4 linked regions of the Arabidopsis thaliana genome follow. The protein of the gene in region 1 interacts with the protein of each later gene in a pairwise test. Each region holds a gene or a part of one and is shown on either strand. Other genes may lie near its edges.

What was found.
Region 2: the proteins of AT1G30860 (region 1) and AT5G38220 interact in a two-hybrid assay, tested with the Arabidopsis thaliana proteins (one large-scale study listed by BioGRID).
Region 3: the proteins of AT1G30860 (region 1) and ACT7 interact in a two-hybrid assay, tested with the Arabidopsis thaliana proteins (one large-scale study listed by BioGRID).
Region 4: the proteins of AT1G30860 (region 1) and EIF2 BETA interact in a two-hybrid assay, tested with the Arabidopsis thaliana proteins (one large-scale study listed by BioGRID).

The regions. Positions count from the first base shown.
Region 1 is NC_003070.9:10,985,991-10,991,471, forward strand, and holds AT1G30860 (RING/U-box superfamily protein), read right to left. Parts: upstream 3,604-5,481; 5' UTR 3,257-3,603; coding exon 2,504-3,256; intron 2,405-2,503; coding exon 2,286-2,404; intron 2,199-2,285; coding exon 1,515-2,198; intron 1,431-1,514; coding exon 1,109-1,430; intron 1,021-1,108; coding exon 706-1,020; 3' UTR 506-705; downstream 1-505. Other genes in the region: RSH4 (root hair specific 4), read left to right, coding at 1-28.
Region 2 is NC_003076.8:15,266,881-15,271,958, reverse strand, and holds AT5G38220 (alpha/beta-Hydrolases superfamily protein), read right to left. Parts: upstream 3,286-5,078; 5' UTR 2,948-3,285; coding exon 2,652-2,947; intron 2,041-2,651; coding exon 2,004-2,040; intron 1,896-2,003; coding exon 1,659-1,895; intron 1,582-1,658; coding exon 1,534-1,581; intron 1,212-1,533; coding exon 819-1,211; 3' UTR 503-818; downstream 1-502.
Region 3 is NC_003076.8:3,050,195-3,055,191, forward strand, and holds ACT7 (actin 7), read left to right. Parts: upstream 1-1,867; 5' UTR 1,868-2,068; intron 2,069-2,608; 5' UTR 2,609-2,614; coding exon 2,615-2,674; intron 2,675-2,768; coding exon 2,769-3,162; intron 3,163-3,248; coding exon 3,249-3,862; intron 3,863-3,960; coding exon 3,961-4,026; 3' UTR 4,027-4,497; downstream 4,498-4,997. UniProt on the Arabidopsis thaliana protein: Actins are highly conserved proteins that are involved in various types of cell motility and are ubiquitously expressed in all eukaryotic cells.
Region 4 is NC_003076.8:7,094,128-7,098,839, forward strand, and holds EIF2 BETA (eukaryotic translation initiation factor 2 beta subunit), read right to left. Parts: upstream 3,019-4,712; 5' UTR 2,885-3,018; exon of another isoform or gene 2,744-2,884; intron 2,543-2,743; 5' UTR 2,535-2,542; coding exon 2,496-2,534; intron 2,369-2,495; coding exon 2,254-2,368; intron 2,163-2,253; coding exon 2,107-2,162; intron 2,005-2,106; coding exon 1,950-2,004; intron 1,856-1,949; coding exon 1,761-1,855; intron 1,671-1,760; coding exon 1,525-1,670; intron 1,408-1,524; coding exon 1,265-1,407; intron 1,174-1,264; coding exon 1,088-1,173; intron 939-1,087; coding exon 867-938; 3' UTR 522-866; downstream 1-521. Other genes in the region: AIP2 (RING/U-box superfamily protein), read right to left, coding at 16-183; TSL (Protein kinase superfamily protein), read left to right, coding at 4,086-4,337, 4,595-4,684. UniProt on the Arabidopsis thaliana protein: Component of the eIF2 complex that functions in the early steps of protein synthesis by forming a ternary complex with GTP and initiator tRNA.

The sequences.
Region 1 (5,481 bases):
CACCTTCTTGACCGCACAAAACGCTTGAATAAGGAAAACAAAAACAGAACACAGAGTTTTATTTATAATATGTATGTATGAAATGAGTGTAATGTATCTACGGATGATGTGTAAATATTATGGAGAGAAAGAGAGTGTTGAGTCTTTGAGAAATCAAAATCGATAAAGGGTTTATGATTCTAAAACAACTCAAAAAGTATAATTTTTAGTGTTTGCTTAGAAGCTCTATCTCCAATTTTTGAGGGTTTGTTTGGCTTTGTTGAATCTTTATGAAATAAATTTGACCAAGAGTAGATGATTATGAGAGTATTTTATAATCTATGTGCTTCACTTTTGCATCGAAGATCTGTTTTCAGACTTTAATCTACAATTTTTAGAGTGTACTCAATGAGGTATCAAAATCAATGAAATGATGGTTACTAGAGTAATTGCAAAAATTCATGTATGTTTCCAAGCTCTGTTTGTGACTTGCCTTTTCAGGTTTTAAGGTTTATTTTTAGGCTATTTTCCGTTAATTTTTTTGGTTGGTTTAGGAGATCAAAAACTTCATAAAACTGGACAAAGTGTTGGTAACATAACCTAAAAACTGTATAAAGAGAGCATAATACGATATTCAGACCCAAAACGCCAAATAACGCAAACTCGATAAGGAAAAGAGGGTTTAATGGGTTAGTGAATTCTTCAGCGTTTTCAAAACGGTTGATTTCAGTTTCTTGTATCGTAGATGACACGAACAACGTCAACAATCTGAGCTCTGCAAATCGGACATTTCCCTCCACTCCAATGTAGTTCGTTGGCACATTTTAGGCACATGCACATATGTCCACACCTGTACAAAACCGCCTCGACCTGTGTTTCGTCGCAGACGCAGCATTTTCGTTTCATTGGGTTTTCTTGGTGAGCCTTGTGTTGCAAGCTCGCGTTAGCATCTAAACACGTTTTGACAGAATCTCGTAGTACTGACATTTCTTGCTGAAGCTGTTGGATCTGTGATCTCATACCGCTTATCAGCTCCATTTCCTGAAAACGTTTATATGCGGCTCAATGAGTTTACCACTAGTGCGGTTGCGAGTTTCTATAGTATAACAAGAAATCGATAAACACTCACAGGTGACTGAGGATTCTGAACAACCAAGGCAGGAGTGGAAGTAACATCAGTGTCTTGAGAACTCCATGATCCTGCAGGAGACGATGCAGATATATGTGAAGACGACGATTGGCTCAAGTCATCTCTATCATCTTGCTCTTCACCTCCTCTTAATGGCTCTTCTTTGATTTCTTCATCAATTTCAAAATTTACTTCCTCCTCTTCTTCTTGTTGCAATTCCCATTTTTTGGAGTGCTTATCCGAGTGTGTCTGTACACGGGACATCATGAGATTATCGATCTTCTCTCGCAACCCGCTGTCGAGGAAATCTGTCACCGTTCTTCTGTATTAAGCAGGGAAATTCATTTTCTTAGTCAGTTATTAACCATTAAGAAACATGAGCTTGTCAATTTTGATGGTTACTTACCGCTCAAGGAGTCTGCATATGTCATCTTTCTCAGACCTAGTGTTCATTACTTCCAGGTACCGTGACTTCCTCAATTCCTCCCAGTAACTCCGAGGCCTAGCTATTTCACTAAGCCAGTCGTCGTTATATTCTCCATAATAAGACTGCTCATCTGCATACTCTTCTTGTTCTCCCCATCTATTCAAATAGGATGTTTCTTGTTGATCAAGGCACTGGTCCATCTCATTACTCTCATGAACTAGACCTTCTGTTTCTCGAGTTTCTTGCATATACTTTCCCACATTGTTCTCGTCTTGATTCTGTCTCAACCGCGATTCTCGAGATAAATATTCACTCGGGCTAGTATTTTCTTCTTCTTTCTTTTCAGACTTGCCATCGTTGCAAGTTTCTTCTACTTCTCTTGTTTCTTGCAGCTGAAGGCAATTCTTTTGTGAATCAACTGTTCCACTTACAGATTCTTCTTCCTTACATAACGTTGCTTCCTCTATCTTGCGGTTACGGGGTCTCAACCGCTCTGCGAAAAAAGCTTCGAGAGTAACACCACCATCCTTTAACCTCGTGCTTGTGGTAGTAGTTCCTTCTGTTTCTTCTACGGATTTGTTGTTCATCTCAGTGGATCGTTGATGATTCTTCCTCTTATCTGTTGCAGCCGCAGAGTTTACTACGTTCGCATGAAATTTCTCCCTGCGTTGCCAATCAAAGATTGAAAATCTGAAGAAAGTAAACCCTAAGAACTAAACTCAAAACATAAAACAGAGAATCTGAAAAAACCTTAAATGCAGAACAGCAGAGCCTGATTCAATTCGGTTTAATCCGGTTGTTTTTGCGTTAGACCGGTTTCTATCTTGAATCACAAGACAGCGATTGAGGTTCCTTAACCTTAGCATTGACTGGTTAAATAATGTAATTAGAAAAACCATTTAGTGGATTATGAATAAAGTCACAAATATGTTAGTTATTTTTATCAAAATAGTGAAAATATAATTTACCTGGAGACGACCACGTTGAGTAAACCTAGAAACTGCGTTGCGTTCAAAAAGCGAATCCAATTCACGGTGGCGATCACGTTCCATTTGCATAAGAAAATCGGTAAACGCTTGTCGTCCTCGTATCTTCGGAGAGAAACTAACCACCGGAAAATTACTTTTCTCCGATGACGACGAAGTGCAATAAGGCCTCGGCGTTCTGATAATCTCGAGTCCACCGCCACCGCCGCTGCCATTATCTCCAGCGGTTCGTTTCTTGTCTTCGTTGCTAAGCCTCCGAATTAGGTCAGCGACTCGTCCCCATTTACTTTCTCCGGAATCAGAAACCAAACCATGTGACCTAGATTCAATCTCCACCGTTCGATCAGCAATTTCAGAATCTCCATCGATTGATGAAGATTCTGAAAGACCGGAATCTTGAACACTAACTCCTGAATCGCTCCGACTACTACTACTCGCCGTAGATTGACTGCTACTCGGCGAGTTTCCACCGTTGGATCGGTTTAGCCTCGCCTCCCATATCTGAACCAAAGAAGAAGCCACAAGATTGTCGTTTCTCTTCGATTCTAACGGAGATTCAAGAACACGATTGTTCTTGTTATTGTGAGTTTCGATCCAAGAATCAACTAAATTCTCATCGGAGACATGAGATTTCAAAACCTCTTTCACCGGAGATTTCAGATTCTTTTGAAAAACGCCAGCGTTTTGGTTACGATCTCTTAAGATTAAACCGAATCTCTGAGGAGAAGACACCATTTTTTTACGATCTAAGAATCGAACAAACGAACATAAAATCAAATAATCATTAGAGTTTTTGAATCGATCGAAAGAAGTTAGAGGACAACTCTGTTTTCTCTGTCTCTCTACAAGAAGAAGAGAAAATGGATTTGTGTTAGTGAAGAGACAGATTTTTCTCTCTGTTTTTTTTTCCTGTTAAAGAAACAGAACAACAACAAACAAACGGTGGAGATACGATGATGATGAAGAAGCAAAACAGAACCAAACAGTATTTGTGCTTATCTATTTAGTAAGAGGACTTATAAATGTTAAGAGTCCTAAAATGGCTCTGTTTTGTCCCTTAAACTGGGGAACGTGTCTGTAAAACAAGGCAATAAAGAATGAGGTGTAAGAATACAGAGAAAGAAAAGCCTTATGTGGCCAAAAGTGATAAATTGTTATAGAAAAATAAAAAAGCTACTTATAATTTTGGACAAAATTGAATTTGAAAGATATTGTATAACACATGTCATTATACTGGTAAAAGCATTTAATTGTGTAATGCATGAAAAAATTAACATTGGATTGTTATACTAATTAAAGGGTGATTAAATTATTTAATAATTAAGGCTCCTAAATATGCTAGAGTCAAAAAGGAGCCGTTGAGGAATTTAGCCGTTGTCGAGTGGGAACCATGCACTTTCTGGATTTTATGCCACATCATAAATCAAATTGAAGAACTAAAGATAACAAACAATTTTAAATTGTATAACTGACAGGAACAAAAACTTTTAAGCAAAGTAAAAATAATTTAATTAGAGAAAATTAGATGTTCAACCCAAGTTTCATGTAGTGTGCGATTTTATTGTAGTGTGGTCAATAGGCCCAGGCATAGTGGTCAATGTCGTGCTTGGGTTAGTCGAATAGAGAGAGAACTTAGGACGAGTTGTGATTTGTGACTCTTATAAAACGATTTAAGAAAAAATAGTCTCTATACAAAATAACGATAATTGAAACCAATAATAAGGTTCACAACCGATCATTTTCGGATCCCGATGAGTTAACGATTAGTCAACGATAGAGTAAAACGACCGATTAATCGAGACTTAGTGTCTATGATATTGGCACATACGACATATATTTCGTATATATATTTCAGGTAACTGGGTATCGTTTATATTAGTTGCGGCATATGTGATAATGTATTCTTCCACACTTCGTATAGCTAGCTGACAATCTTTTTTCTTAAAGTTTAAGTATTAGGAAGTATTATCCGGTAGATAAAGAAGATGGACGATTGAAAAAGCGATTGATACGATTTTTCTTCTGTGATTTTTCCGACCGGCCGGCGTTGGTTCCGACTTCGATTGTACTCTTTTCTCCTTTATAATTCTAGCAAATATTAGTTTACATACATATATTTCAGTTATTAACAATGAGTTCTAGAGAATCAACTGCTTTTGGTTGGCCTCTTTTCACACTGTTGGCGATTTTCATGACCCAAAAATTGAGTTTTCTACAATTATTTGTAAGAAATATAAATTATAAAAACTAGAAAAATATATGAAAAAGTTTAAGGTTTTGACTAGTGAGAATTTGTTGTATAGTTCAAAAAAACTCAAAATTTGAACGTTTGAAAACTTGTTGAGATGCATCAATTTTCAATAAACGTAGCCTATGGTGAATTGTTTTTTTTTTTTTGTCAACATGTCTCTAATGGACCTATTTTTCCGTGCTAAAAAATGTGCAGAGGTAATATCGCTATTTTTGTTAGAGGATCTGAGCAAATTCATTATTAATGATTGTGCAAAAAATTTGTTAATTTCGATATATCACATTTTGCTTTACGGATTACTCGAAAACATACTTTGATGTCATCATCCAGTGTATATATACGTATGTTAATTGTAGACAACAAAATAAAATAATAATAGTCTCACATAACCGACCAAAAAACAAACAAAATTAAATCAATGGAAGTTGTTGACAAATAAATTTTACAATTAATCTAATCCAAATAAGTCAAAACCCTGATTTCAGTAATGTAAAGATCATTATATCATTTTTTCTCTTGTAAAAAGGTTTTTTAAAATTATACTATTAATATATATCATTTGATCAAAAAAAAATTATATATCATAAACATTATATACGACATGCAGGCAAGTCACTCGAATATTCAAATCTTAAAGTTGTGCCTCCCACGTAAAAGCATCACATTAGTTTCCAAACCCAATTGTATATATAAATTACTACACAACACA
Region 2 (5,078 bases), on another chromosome or scaffold:
CCTCCATAAATTAATACTCGATAAATTAATAACCTCTATAAATTAATAAATTATTCCCGTCCCGAGTTATGACCAATGTAAAAATTGATATAAATCGATAAATTAATAAGATAATAACTTTTTCGAAAATCTTATATAAATATATGGTCCCATCAATATTATAAATTAATAATTATATAAATTTACAAATATATACACATATATATATATATCAATATTATATGTAAAATATTTATTGAAATATGACTCTAATATTATTTTTTCTTCAATTTCTATTAATTATTTGTAGAGTTTAATTCTAATATTTTTATTACGTCGAAAAAATTTTGTATTATTTTTTAAACTTAATCATTGTTTTTTCCTTGTAATTAGTTTTAGAAAAAATTATTAATTATAAAGAAAAACTACTTTTCTATCGAAGTTTTGTAAAAAAAAAAAATACAAAATTTGTAAAATCTCTCTATAAATTAATAATTATTAATTTATCGATAAATTAATACCTCTTTAAATTAATAAATTTTCTCGCTCCCAACATTATTAATTTATAGAGGTTTTACTGTATATGCGTTTTTAGTTTCGAGAAAAGCAAGTCCAAACTAAAATCAAACTTGTCAGTGATTACAAGTTTTGTACCATGACAAAGTTACAACCAAATATGAAATCAAGACTTTTGAGTTTGATCTGTTTCTATTAGAAAATACATACACAAACCTGAGAAAGAAAAAAACAAAACCACACGTCATAATTTTATGCAGAAACATATGAATTACAGAAACAGGAGTTACAAATAACCTGTTTTGTCGATGGACCTTTATATGTCACCAGACTGAACCTTTTTTCCTTCTAAACCTATCAATGCTCATACGAGACTTCTCGGGTTTACTAGTCTTCTTAGATTTCTCCAGCTGACTGTCTACACTGTTTCTAGAAACTTCTGGAAGGCAACAGCCAAGTTGAAACGTATCAGCACGCCCGTTCTCTGCAGGCTTGCTCTGTTTTTTGGCTGCATCCGTCGTTGCAGTCTTGTTCGAACCAGTTCTTGGTCCCTTGGAAATAGAAATTACGTATTTCTTCAGATGTTTTATGAACTCTGGATAGAGTTCTAGATTGCAGTGTCCTCCTCCAGATACCCATAAAGGCTCATACTTTTCTTTTGAAAGTTCCCAAAGTTGTTTTCCATGAGAACAATCAACCACTTCATCTGCAGTCCCCTACCAGACCAAACAAGAGAGTTAAAAACCTTCTTAAGTGATTTAAATTTAGACTAATGTCACTAATCTGTTTTTAAGGCACAAGACAATGATTCTTATTGGAGAAATACTCAAGTTGGCTACCCAATAAATATCTCATAAATTTCAACAACTTGAGTTTCACCAAACATTTTCTTGTCAAATGGTCCAGTTAACCTACAAGTTTTAATTCATTACAAGAATCTGTGGAGGCAATAAATGACAACAAGATTCCACCAATAATGAGAAGATCAAAGGCAAAGTGAAAGAGACAATAATGAAAGAGGAATAATCATTTACTCACATGGATTACTAAGACAGGACAGGTAACTGCACCGATCTTGTCAATATTCTGAAACAAAGAATTGTGCGTGTAAGCATGAACACATGAAAACCAGAACAAACATAGCTGAATGTTTGCTAAATTACCTTGTAAATGTCAAACCAATAGGTACGTTTAACCGGATACAAAACTCTCATCCCAGAGAGAATAGGGCTGTGCAAAACCACTCCTCGCAAATTAGGCGTGCGTGAAGCTAAATCAATCGTTGGTCCACTACCAACAGACTGACCATATAATATCAGTTGATCATCTTTTACACCATAATGTTCCTTGAGGCAAGTATATGCTGCATCTATATCAGCATAGGTATTACATTCACTTGCCTGATTCAAGTAACAAACTTAAATCCATCAAAAACAATCCCTGGACTCTCTAACACATAACAAGACGGTCAGATACACTTTTATAAAGTTAGAAGCTCAGAATACAACCTTTCCAGTAGACTGACCATAACCAGAGTAATCATACCTGGAAAAAGAAAACCAAAGAAGAGATTATAGAACTATTATAACCTACTCATCATTGGATTATAGACCGTAACTACCGCAATAACACAACTTAAGTGGAGAAACTTTTGCTACTAATTACCAATTTACAGTCTTCACAGTCGTTAAAATTGAGTACAAGGCCTAAGCAAGTACGCATGAAGATATGCGAAATCGCATTCTCAGAATCTAAATTCTTCTTCTACCACAGAGGAGAAGTATGATTGAAAACAGTTGCAATGAAATGCTTGCATCACAACATTTCACAAAAGTCAAATTATTTATATAGAAATTTCAAAAACTATATGAATAAATGTCTTGAGGGGTCAACAAGACCCAGAAAATTTTGGCTAAAGTCTCTGACTTTCACATAGATTTTGTCACTATATTCAGGACTATAAGCCATTAATAACCAATCCAAAACCAAATCTTCAATTCAAATTTAAAAACATCAACGAGATAACGAACCAATTTTGGAAAGTTTCCTCCTTTTTTCATGGAAACCCCTAAATTAACAGTATCATTCACAACAATCCTCAAAAATCGAAACTTTATACAAAAACAGAGATAGAGAAGAAGAAAAAAGTTACTTACCCCATGAGATTAAGTCGGAGACGATTACTAAGTTCGATAAAAAGCTCAAACATTTGACCCAAATCAGCAGCGTTACCATGTGAATACAAAAGCGTACCATTAGCTTTAGGATGTTTAATATAAATAGCTACAATCTCGTTACCACGACGAGTCTTTAGCTTCAATACATCTACATCATCACGGCGAGGTACTTCTGTTATGTATAATCGGTCAACGTCGGAAACAAATCCATAAGACGGTGGTGATGGCGGGAAAAAAGCGAATTTTGCAGCGATTGATGAAGTTACTCCTCCCATGACGACGAAGATGATGATGATTCTCTTAACATCACACAGATAAATTAGTAGAAAACCCTAAGGTTTTGATTGATTTCTCTTTTTGTGTTTTTGAGATCTTGAGGTGAAGGAAAGGAGAAAATGATAGAACGATGGAGAAAGGAGAAGTGAGAAAGATAAAGAAGAAGAAGAAGAAAAGGAAAAGTTGAAAATGAAAGAGTTTAGATTTGAGATTTTTTATGGTTTACACGACGGTGGCGCGTGAGGGATAATAAGCGGCGCGTGTATATTGAAAAGAATTCCACTGGAGAAACACGAAAGTCGAAAAGTAAAATGTCGCGCTTCTCTCTAAATGGCGGTTGTCAAACGGAGCTTTCACTTCTTTTCTAAAAAACAAACAAAAACTTATAGTTTTGATATTTTATTTCTTGTTTGTCAAATATTTTTTTTTTCATAAGAAATTAAGTAAGTTATGAGTAAAAAAAAAAAAATCAACTGAGTTCGCATTTGAGAAATCATATATGAAATTTGGCCAAGAAAAAATACAAAAATCATGTTAATGTATCAAACACTACTCTCATTTTAGTTTTCTTATTTTTATTATTTTTGTAATAGTCATTATTTGATAATGACTAAAAATTTTCGTGTATTACAACTTAACTGTTTGTTACTTAACCTTCTTTAGTTTAGTAATTTTAGCTTAGTCTTTTCTTTTTATTATATTTTTTTGTTTACATGATATGGTTTTTTTGTATGTTTATGATAAATTGGTAACATTAATATTGACATGTATCTTTTGTTAAATAGTGATCTTTTGAGATGTTAGATATACCAAAAAGTTCAATATACGATCCTTTCTCTAATATGAATATATGCAAATGCAAAGAGAGAAACCTAAAAGTGTTGACTCAAAAGACTATTTAATTTATGATTTTTTTTTTTCATATGAAAACTTTTAAAGCAAATGAGTAGTTTATATATTTGTTATTCAAATTATGTCAATCCAATATTTAGCCATGAGCCTATCATGATGTGATTGGAATACTAGATTAGGAGAGAATACATGGAACAAGAAATTATTTGCTTAGAATCAAATTAGATAACTTTCAAACCAAATAAGTAGCATAATTGCATACCATTGTATCATATTGTTGATGTAAGTATTTCATGATAGTTAAAAAATTTTAGAAACTTGGGTATATAGATAAAAAGATTTATACATGAAAAAAATATAATTGATATTTGAATCAAAAGTGAATCTAACTATACAAATATAATTAATAAAATGAATATAACTTTATTAACTACATAATAGCATATACGAAAATAACATAAATTAGCAATAAAAATAGTTAAACATAATTATTTTTAAACAAATTTCAAACAACATAGTTATAATGAAAAAAGAAGAAAAAGTAATAAACTATTGAAGCTTATGTCATTTTGGTGTTATAATTAAGAAACTATATTACTAATATTTTCATTAAAATATGACTAACAAAATAGCATCTTCAAAATCTGTGGATCTAGATTTATATAATAATATTCTTTGTTAACCTATATTTATATACTAATAATCATAGAAATCATAGATGTAACATATTTTCTAGTCATGTAATGGTTTTCATTATAATTTTTTATATCATAATTATTAATACAAAAAATAGAAATCATATGATTAAATTACATATTGTATACTTTACATAAGGGTTAGTCGTCAATTCTTACAATTTTACCTTCCACTTTAAAAAATACAGAATAATTATATAAGTCCAAAATAAAACGTAGTATAGTCTTTATACATATATACATTGTAAATGTTTTCAGGATCACATACATTGGATTTTTAAAATTCTAAAAGTAGATTTGAACTTTTCGTCTCGAGGACTTCGATTAAATATATTATTTCTCAAAATTTTATAAACTTGACAATAGCGAAATGGGTATAATAATTATTATTTTAGATTTTATAAAACTATTCTGTACTTTTTTAAGGTGGAGAGTAAAATTACAAATATTGGCAACTTTGAGAGTTTTGTTTGCACAAAACCACCCTTTATATAGTTAAAGCATGTTAAATTATAATTATTAAATCATAGATTATTATTATTTTGTTAATAAATATTTTTGATAACAAACCTATTTTTCTTTG
Region 3 (4,997 bases), on another chromosome or scaffold:
TTTAAATGATACAGAGTTTTTTTGTTTGGAGAGGAATAGACTGATATGATAGTCCGTGAAAATATTTTCATCTTGTTTTCAATGTGGAGATATTTTAAAGTTTGAAACCAATCCAAGTTCTAAAACATCAAAAGCTTTTATTCTCTGTTTAAACCACTTGGTTGGTCTTGGTCTTCTTGAAATATACAAACCAGACCCAAACGATAATCAGTGAAGATGACTGCATCATTGGGTCTTTAAGTTTCCTATTGGGCCAAATCAGCCCAACTATATTATTGTTATTATTTCAGTCCATTAAAGATTTTCGGCCCGTTTTATCGTTGGGAATTCATCTATATTTCCCCAATTTGATGATACACAGAACAATTTCATGTGTATACGATAAGAGGCAAATTCAAAATTTGCAATCAATGTAAAGTGGAAATGAGAAGCATGGTGGCTCAAATCAACTTATCTTTCCTTGGAATACAAACTACAAATGATGACGGATTTGGCTTCCCTTTGAATTTACCTTTTACCTCTCTCTTTTTTTTTTTTTATAGGTAATGTTGTTATTGGACAAAAATGTTAAGAAAATAAAGGTGAATGATAAATTAGAAGAGTACCCATAACTATTTTGATTATTTAAGTTGCCAACCAAGCTAGACCACTTTCCAACTTTTATAGACAAAGTGTAAGAACTTAGCACATGCTTTCCAACAAGGAATATGAAACTTTATTTCAAAAAGATTATTGTTAAAGCTTTTAATCATTCTAAAAGGTGATTAATATTTGAATTATTGGAAGTAACTTGTTTTGGACATATACCAAATTAATCAATAGTATCAATGGACATATAACATGTTGTGAGACTATATCAATGTTATATTCCAAGCCAGTTAAACCAATTTATAATGATACCATTTATAGATAAACAATACACTTTACACACATTATTTTCTTAGAATTGGGTCTCATATAGAACACTCACAAAGGTGACTTATAAAAAATGCTTCAAAGATCCTAGTCTTTTAGTGTGCATTCCTCAAAATCGTAGTTGATATGTATCTTGCTCCTATTCGGGTTTTGGTCTAGAATTTTGGTTTCAGGAATTTTCAATTAACTCATTAAAACATTTATAACATAAAAAGATATATCACGAAAACCGATCAATCATTTAATATATTTTTATTTTATTTTATTTTTTGTCACAATAAAATCTAGACAATAGTGTTTAAACATTTATCAAAAAATTCACCTTACGATTAATTTGTTTTATATTTTGTGATGATGCAATTTAATCTATATAAATTATAAAACATATCGATAATCTGTGTTTTTCTTTTTCTACATATAAAATTCATAAAAATGAGAGTTTTGAAGCTCTTAAAATGGACTAGTCAACAATTGGCCAATCTTTGTTCTAAATTGCTAATAAACGACCATTTCCGTCAATTCTCCTTGGTTGCAACAGTCTACCCGTCAAATGTTTACTAATTTATAAGTGTGAAGTTTGAATTATGAAAGACGAAATCGTATTAAAAATTCACAAGAATAAACAACTCCATAGATTTTCAAAAAAACAGTCACGAGAAAAAAACCACAGTCCGTTTGTCTGCTCTTCTAGTTTTTATTATTTTTCTATTAATAGTTTTTTGTTATTTCGAGAATAAAATTTGAACGATGTCCGAACCACAAAAGCCGAGCCGATAAATCCTAAGCCGAGCCTAACTTTAGCCGTAACCATCAGTCACGGCTCCCGGGCTAATTCATTTGAACCGAATCATAATCAACGGTTTAGATCAAACTCAAAACAATCTAACGGCAACATAGACGCGTCGGTGAGCTAAAAAGAGTGTGAAAGCCAGGTCACCATAGCATTGTCTCTCCCAGATTTTTTATTTGGGAAATAATAGAAGAAATAGAAAAAAATAAAAGAGTGAGAAAAATCGTAGAGCTATATATTCGCACATGTACTCGTTTCGCTTTCCTTAGTGTTAGCTGCTGCCGCTGTTGTTTCTCCTCCATTTCTCTATCTTTCTCTCTCGCTGCTTCTCGAATCTTCTGTATCATCTTCTTCTTCTTCAAGGTGAGTCTCTAGATCCGTTCGCTTGATTTTGCTGCTCGTTAGTCGTTATTGTTGATTCTCTATGCCGATTTCGCTAGATCTGTTTAGCATGCGTTGTGGTTTTATGAGAAAATCTTTGTTTTGGGGGTTGCTTGTTATGTGATTCGATCCGTGCTTGTTGGATCGATCTGAGCTAATTCTTAAGGTTTATGTGTTAGATCTATGGAGTTTGAGGATTCTTCTCGCTTCTGTCGATCTCTCGCTGTTATTTTTGTTTTTTTCAGTGAAGTGAAGTTGTTTAGTTCGAAATGACTTCGTGTATGCTCGATTGATCTGGTTTTAATCTTCGATCTGTTAGGTGTTGATGTTTACAAGTGAATTCTAGTGTTTTCTCTTTGAGATCTGTGAAGTTTGAACCTAGTTTTCTCAATAATCAACATATGAAGCGATGTTTGAGTTTCAATAAACGCTGCTAATCTTCGAAACTAAGTTGTGATCTGATTCGTGTTTACTTCATGAGCTTATCCAATTCATTTCGGTTTCATTTTACTTTTTTTTTAGTGAAAAATGGCCGATGGTGAGGATATTCAGCCACTTGTCTGTGACAATGGAACTGGAATGGTGAAGGTGAGTTAGACTGTTTATTTAGATACTGTATGGTTCTAACCTTCTTTGTTGTACATGTGTAAGACTACTGATCATGATTTTTGTATATTAACAGGCTGGTTTTGCTGGTGATGATGCCCCGAGAGCAGTGTTCCCAAGTATTGTTGGTCGTCCTAGGCACACTGGTGTCATGGTTGGTATGGGTCAGAAAGATGCTTACGTTGGTGATGAAGCTCAGTCCAAGAGAGGTATCCTCACTCTGAAGTATCCAATCGAACATGGTATTGTAAGTAACTGGGATGACATGGAAAAGATATGGCATCACACTTTCTACAACGAGCTTCGTGTTGCCCCTGAGGAGCACCCAGTTCTACTCACAGAGGCACCTCTTAACCCTAAAGCTAACAGGGAGAAGATGACTCAGATCATGTTTGAGACATTCAATGTCCCTGCCATGTATGTTGCCATTCAGGCCGTTCTTTCTCTCTATGCCAGTGGTCGTACAACCGGTTAGTTCTTAACTCTAAACATCCAAGTCTGAGTTATATTATCTTCTTACTTGTATTTACTTAAAGTCGTTCTCTTTTTGTAACAGGTATTGTGCTCGATTCTGGTGATGGTGTGTCTCACACTGTGCCAATCTACGAGGGGTATGCTCTTCCTCATGCTATCCTTCGTCTTGATCTTGCGGGTCGGGATCTCACAGACTCACTCATGAAGATTCTCACTGAGAGAGGTTACATGTTCACCACTACCGCAGAACGGGAAATTGTCCGTGACATAAAGGAGAAACTTGCTTATGTCGCTCTTGACTACGAGCAAGAGCTAGAGACAGCCAAGAGCAGTTCTTCAGTGGAGAAGAACTACGAGCTACCTGATGGACAAGTCATAACCATCGGAGCTGAGAGATTCCGTTGTCCTGAGGTTCTGTTCCAGCCATCGCTCATCGGAATGGAAGCTCCTGGAATCCATGAAACAACTTACAACTCCATCATGAAATGTGATGTCGATATCAGGAAGGATCTCTATGGAAACATCGTTCTCAGTGGTGGTTCCACCATGTTCCCAGGAATTGCTGACCGTATGAGCAAAGAGATCACCGCTCTTGCACCTAGCAGCATGAAGATCAAGGTGGTTGCACCGCCAGAGAGAAAATACAGTGTCTGGATCGGAGGATCAATCCTTGCATCCCTCAGCACCTTCCAACAGGTAAAAATCCCAATTCCGCCTCTTTAAAACTTTCAGCTCCATTTATGAAACATGAGTGAAAATACTGAAATTTTGTTTTGTTTGTGTGTGTGAATCAGATGTGGATTTCAAAGAGTGAGTACGATGAGTCAGGTCCATCGATTGTTCACAGGAAATGCTTCTAAGTGTGTCTTGTCTTATCTGGTTCGTGGTGGTGAGTTTGTTACAAAAAAATCTATTTTCCCTAGTTGAGATGGGAATTGAACTATCTGTTGTTATGTGGATTTTATTTTCTTTTTTCTCTTTAGAACCTTATGGTTGTGTCAAGAAGTCTTGTGTACTTTAGTTTTATATCTCTGTTTTATCTCTTCTATTTTCTTTAGGATGCTTGTGATGATGCTGTTTTTTTTTGTCCCTAAGCAAAAAAATATCATATTATATTTGGTCCTTGGTTCATTTTTTTGGTTTTTTTTTGTCTTCACATATAAATATTGTTTGAATGTCTTCAATCTTTTATTTGTATGAGACAATTATTTAAGTATCGGGTGACAATGCAGCTATTATGTATTGTCGATTGTTATATTGGCGCCCAAAATATATACTTAGCCTAAGAATTTGGTAAGTGAGTGGCTTATGTTTTACTCCAGCAAAAATTGTGTGTGTATTACCATTCTGATGCGAAACAAGAAAAGAATTTGATCTAAGAAACCAAGTTTATTCACTAGTTAAAAAACAAATGACCTAATGTAATCGACTCCACATATCAAAATACGTAAAACAAACATTGTATGTTGACAAAAGGGAAAAGAAATGATTTATTTGGTTAAAAAGAAAGCTGGATTCAATTGCAACAGTTTAGTCGAAATCATTTTGAAAGCTTACAATGGATTGAATGTGAATATTCCATTAAGCCGCTTCTGTCTACACAGAATGTTACGCTTGGAGAGCAGCAATCATTTTCACGTTTTTATCTTTTTAGGTGGACATGTATATTATTGGTTACGCCTTTGGAGTTTTTCGAAATTTATTTCTTTCAAATCACAAGATGACTAAACATCACAATCTGTTTATCTTCCTAACTAGTTAAATTTTTGTCCCCACCATTGGAAAGATTTGAAATGGTCGGTCCAGCCAAATCACTCAAATACTTTATGAA
Region 4 (4,712 bases), on another chromosome or scaffold:
AGAATAAAAACCAACCTGTTTGCGGAGAGAAGGAGAGGAAGAAGAGTAGTGATCACGGAGAAGATTATGAATAGAACAAACGGATGCTTCGAATCTCAGCTTTTTGTTCAGCTGTTTCTGAAGATCATCAAGCTCAAGCTTCAAGCTTTCCTCGGAAGGAGACGGTGAAGACGATGCATCCATTCAGAAATTTATTTCTTAGAGTTAAGGAGAATACTCAGGGGTTTCGAATGATTTTGGGGATTTTGTAAGAATGATGCAAAAGAAGAACCAATCTCTTGTCTTCTGGGATTTTTGTAGGAGACGAGTTTTCTTGATCAGGAGGAAAGGACGAAGTCGGTCGGTTAATATAGTTCAGTTCGGTTTGGTTCGGTTCAAGACCAAAAGAACAATTGTTAATTACCAATTGTTCGGTTTGGTTTGAGACCAATTTTTTGTTGGTAAATACTAAATCGTATGCGGCTATATTAGACCAAACCGTATACATTATTTGTTTTTTGTAGTATGATTGTAACTGTAGATAAACATAGTGTATATTGGACTTTCTGAGCCTTCCACGCTTTAATTTGAGATGTTGAACGCAATGCCTGTGGACGTTAATATCATTAGTCTATTAATTTTGAACTAAGAATAATCTTAACACAAAAAAGAAGTCCATGGATTTACTAAATCAACCTTCAAGGTGACCACATGAACCTGACAGAGTAAAAGGTTTTGATCCTATCCCATTTTAAAAGTCAAGTCATAATCATATTCCAAAACAAAATAAAAAAAACAAGACAAGTATTTCTTCAACTCATAAACTCATACAGAAGCAGTAGAATAGCTCCAAACTCCATACCAAGGTCACTTCACCTTCTAATTTCTCAAGTCTTCCTGCGACTAACACGAGCAACAAACCCTGTTTTGATCGGAGCCACAGATCGTTGAGATCCACACTGCAAAAACCATGTAGCCCACTCGTTAATCACATTAGCAAATTCAAACACACAAAATACTTTATTACTTTGTTGCGCAGAAAGTAAAACTGTAAAACAGAAACAAAGGAATGCATATCAAGATCAGGACTAATTAGATTAACTTATACCTTTTCACATCTCAGAAAGAAGAGACGGTTCTCCTTGGAGAGAATGGTGTCTGGGCTCTTGCAACCAAGGCAAATGACGTAGTCAGCTGAGAAATAATAAAACAAGAGGTTAACAACTCCAAACTGATATACTTTTATGGCAACTTAAATTTTGAGACTAAGAAGAAAGTTACTTACTGATATATCGCCGCAAAATTCCTTCAAAATTCTTAGGTGCAAACCTTCCCTTAACAACCAACCTTTGCTGCCCATCAAGCGAACCACTAGTACCCAACTCAGCAAGCAAGTATTGCATAACATGATCTGGTTGACGATGCATCCTGATTTTTTATATGCAGATAAGACATGTCATCGAAAAGTCATCAAAATTAAATGGTAATATTACTTATGGTTACACAGAAAAAGTTTGAAGAGGAAGATAAAGAGTTAGCTCATACGTCTTGCAAAGGTCCATGAAGTTGACAAAGACAGTCTTCTTTGTCCCCTCACGAAGAACTTGAGGAGGCCTCATAACTGTACGACGCCTATCTCCAGCAAGCTCCGGATTATTTTCACGGAGAATGTTAAAGACTCTACCAAGAAGCTGCATATATAACTCCCGTCAGCAAAAAAACAAGGGAGCAAGATATTTATGAAGGATTAAAACAAAAGAAATCATCGAAAATATAGTCACCTCGTCATATATGTAATCCCTCTCACTTCCCTCCCAGGGGTAACGTTGCTGTAGAACTATTCCTTCTTCCCCCTCTTGCTCGTCATTAGCAATCTCTGCAATATATTCTCAGTAAGATTCAAACAGGATAAAAACCCCGCCAAGAGAAAAGGTATATTAGCAAACAAAAAAAAAGGATATTAAAAGTACCATCCAAATCTTCCCCAGCATCAACACTTTCGTTGTTCAATAAGCTTGATTCAGTCTAAATATCAAACAAGAACAAATGTGAGTCACAGAATCATCAAACACACAAGTTTAATGACATAAAAAAAATACTAGGCACAAAACGTAAAACAATACTCACTGGCTTCTTCTTCTTTTTCTTCATTCCAGTAAATGAACTCTCAAGACCATCATTAACTGCAAAAACAAGGAATTAGACAAAGTAACACAAAAGACCATTGAAACAAAAAAAATGTTTCACATCACATTGACTCTTCATCATACATACCAGGCAATGAATCAGATTTCTCAGTCTGTGAAGACTCTGCTAAGTCCTCGACAGGTTCCTGAATCACAACCTTCTTCTTCTTTTTCTTCTTGGAAGGATCAAAGGGTGCGAGCTGCTGTAAAAGGATGAACCAAAACATAAAAACCATTCAATCATGAGTTCATCAAACAAAACAAAAAAAAAAATCTATATGGCTAACTTGAGCCCTATCATTAAGAAACAGAGAAAAAAAACAAACTTACTTCTTGCTCTTCCCTTATCTCATTGATTTCATCAGCCATGATTGCAACTGAGATACAAAACGAAAACACACAATGATAATAAGACCTCAGAAACCAAACATATACATATTAGAATCAACATAATCTGTAACAACGATGAGCATAGGCAAGTCCGAAATTAGGGTTTCTAAATCAGAGAGGTAATTCGGAACGCAACAAAACCATAACGAGATTCAGAACAACTTTTCGATTCCCAATAAAAAAAATACCCAAATAAAATGTACGACAAGGCTTCAAATCAGAAACGGAACAGCTAGGTTTACCAATCTGTTTATACTCAATTCTTCCAAAAACACGATTTACTCTGAGATCGACCAGAAGAATTCGAAAAGGAATCGAAGAAAACTCACAAAGGGATGTCTAAGCGCTGAAATTGGCGTAGAGAGTAAACGAGGTTGCTTCGGGAGGAATCTGAGAGAGAGTAAGCGGCGCAGGGGTTGTTTTAATCTGAGATAAGAGTTAACCCTTGCTCCTCCAAAAAAATAGTCCATCTCGAATTGTAACTTTTTTTTTTAATTCAATAGTAAAAGGTCTCTGTAAATATTTCATTTTGCCTAAACCTTAATATTACATTTTTACTTTTTTCTTTTTCTTAACGCATGTTACATTTTAATTTTATCTATTAATTGACACTGAGATTCTCATTTATTATTTTATTTGTCTTAATTAATTAATCAATTGAAATTTTATCAAATCAATTTTTTTTTTTTCAAATTAAGATTTATTTCTTATTAAATTCTGTGAATAGTAAATTATATAAAAATGTTATTAAATATAAATGAAACTAGTAAAGAAAGAAATCAGAATATATTTAGTGTCAAAATTAATAGTCTAGCATATCTTATTTTACTATAAATTACTAAATTATATTATTTTATTATTTAATATATTAAGTATTTTAGTTTGTTAGATATTCAGTAACAAAATTTCCGCAAATGCATTAATTTTCAACCGCTAAATTAATCGTTCAAATTGTTTAATAACGCTTGAGACGGCAACCGCCTACTTCCGCAAATTCATATAGTCATAATCGGATTTTAGCGTTTAAACCACGAGTCTGGCCTTAGATCAAAGAAAACCCTACTTATAGTCAACCCTAATCCATGATACCAAATGGAGAAAAAAAAAGAAAGAAAAAATGGAAATTTCCCAAATTAACACACCCATAACTCAAACTTGTCTCAAACCTCAGATTATATAATTAGGCTAAAATCTGATAAACCAAAAAATGTATCAGAGTGAGTGCTAAAGAGAACTTTGTGTTGACCTCTCTTTCCCTCCTAATTCCTTAGGGTTCCTCGATTTTTCTTTTTCACCGAAACAAAAACCTTATTCCTCCTTCTCTTTCTCTGTCTATCTTTCTCTGTACGTTTTATTCACTTTCCTCCACGTGGATTTGCATAAAAGCATGAAAATTTGTTGATGGGTTTCTCTTCGACATCCAGATTCTAGCTTCCAATTCCGTAATTCTCCGTTAAAAAACCCTAATTTCTCGAATTTACTCTGATCTGTGTAGAAATTAGGGAGTGAAGTGTCCGCAAGTGTTTGGCAATGTCGGATGACATGGTTTTGCATTTCTCCTCGAATTCTTCTAATCAGTCGGATCACTCTTTACCCGACAAAATCGCCAAGCTTGAGGCCCGCTTGACTGGTAAGACCCCTTCCTCGGCCAAGCCACCACAACAACAACAACAGCAGCAGCAGCAGGTCTCTCTCTGGTCATCTGCTTCTGCCGCTGTCAAAGTCGTCACTTCCACACCGCCGGGATTGTCCGAAACCTCTATCAGTGATTCAGACGACGAGGTAGCTTCCGATGTTTGTTTCAAATTCTTTTGTTTATGTCTATGCTATGATTCTTGTGAGTCTAAGGGTCGTTGCTAATTGAATTGTTGATGTCCCTATCCTCCTTGTATTGATCAGTTTGTGCCTAAAGATTGATCAAAGTTGTATGCAATGCTGGCTACATATCCTGGCATTGCAGATGCATCTATATTTCTTTCTTGAACAAGAAATACAGTCTCTTTTTTAGCTAGATCTCATTCTCCTTGTTACTGTCTCAGAATACTGGAGATTTCCTAATCCGAGCAAATACAAAAAAGCGCCAGAAAGTTCAAGAATCTAACAACTTCAGTGTTGTTGATCATGTTGAGGTATTGATTTTTCATAAAGAGTTTTCTT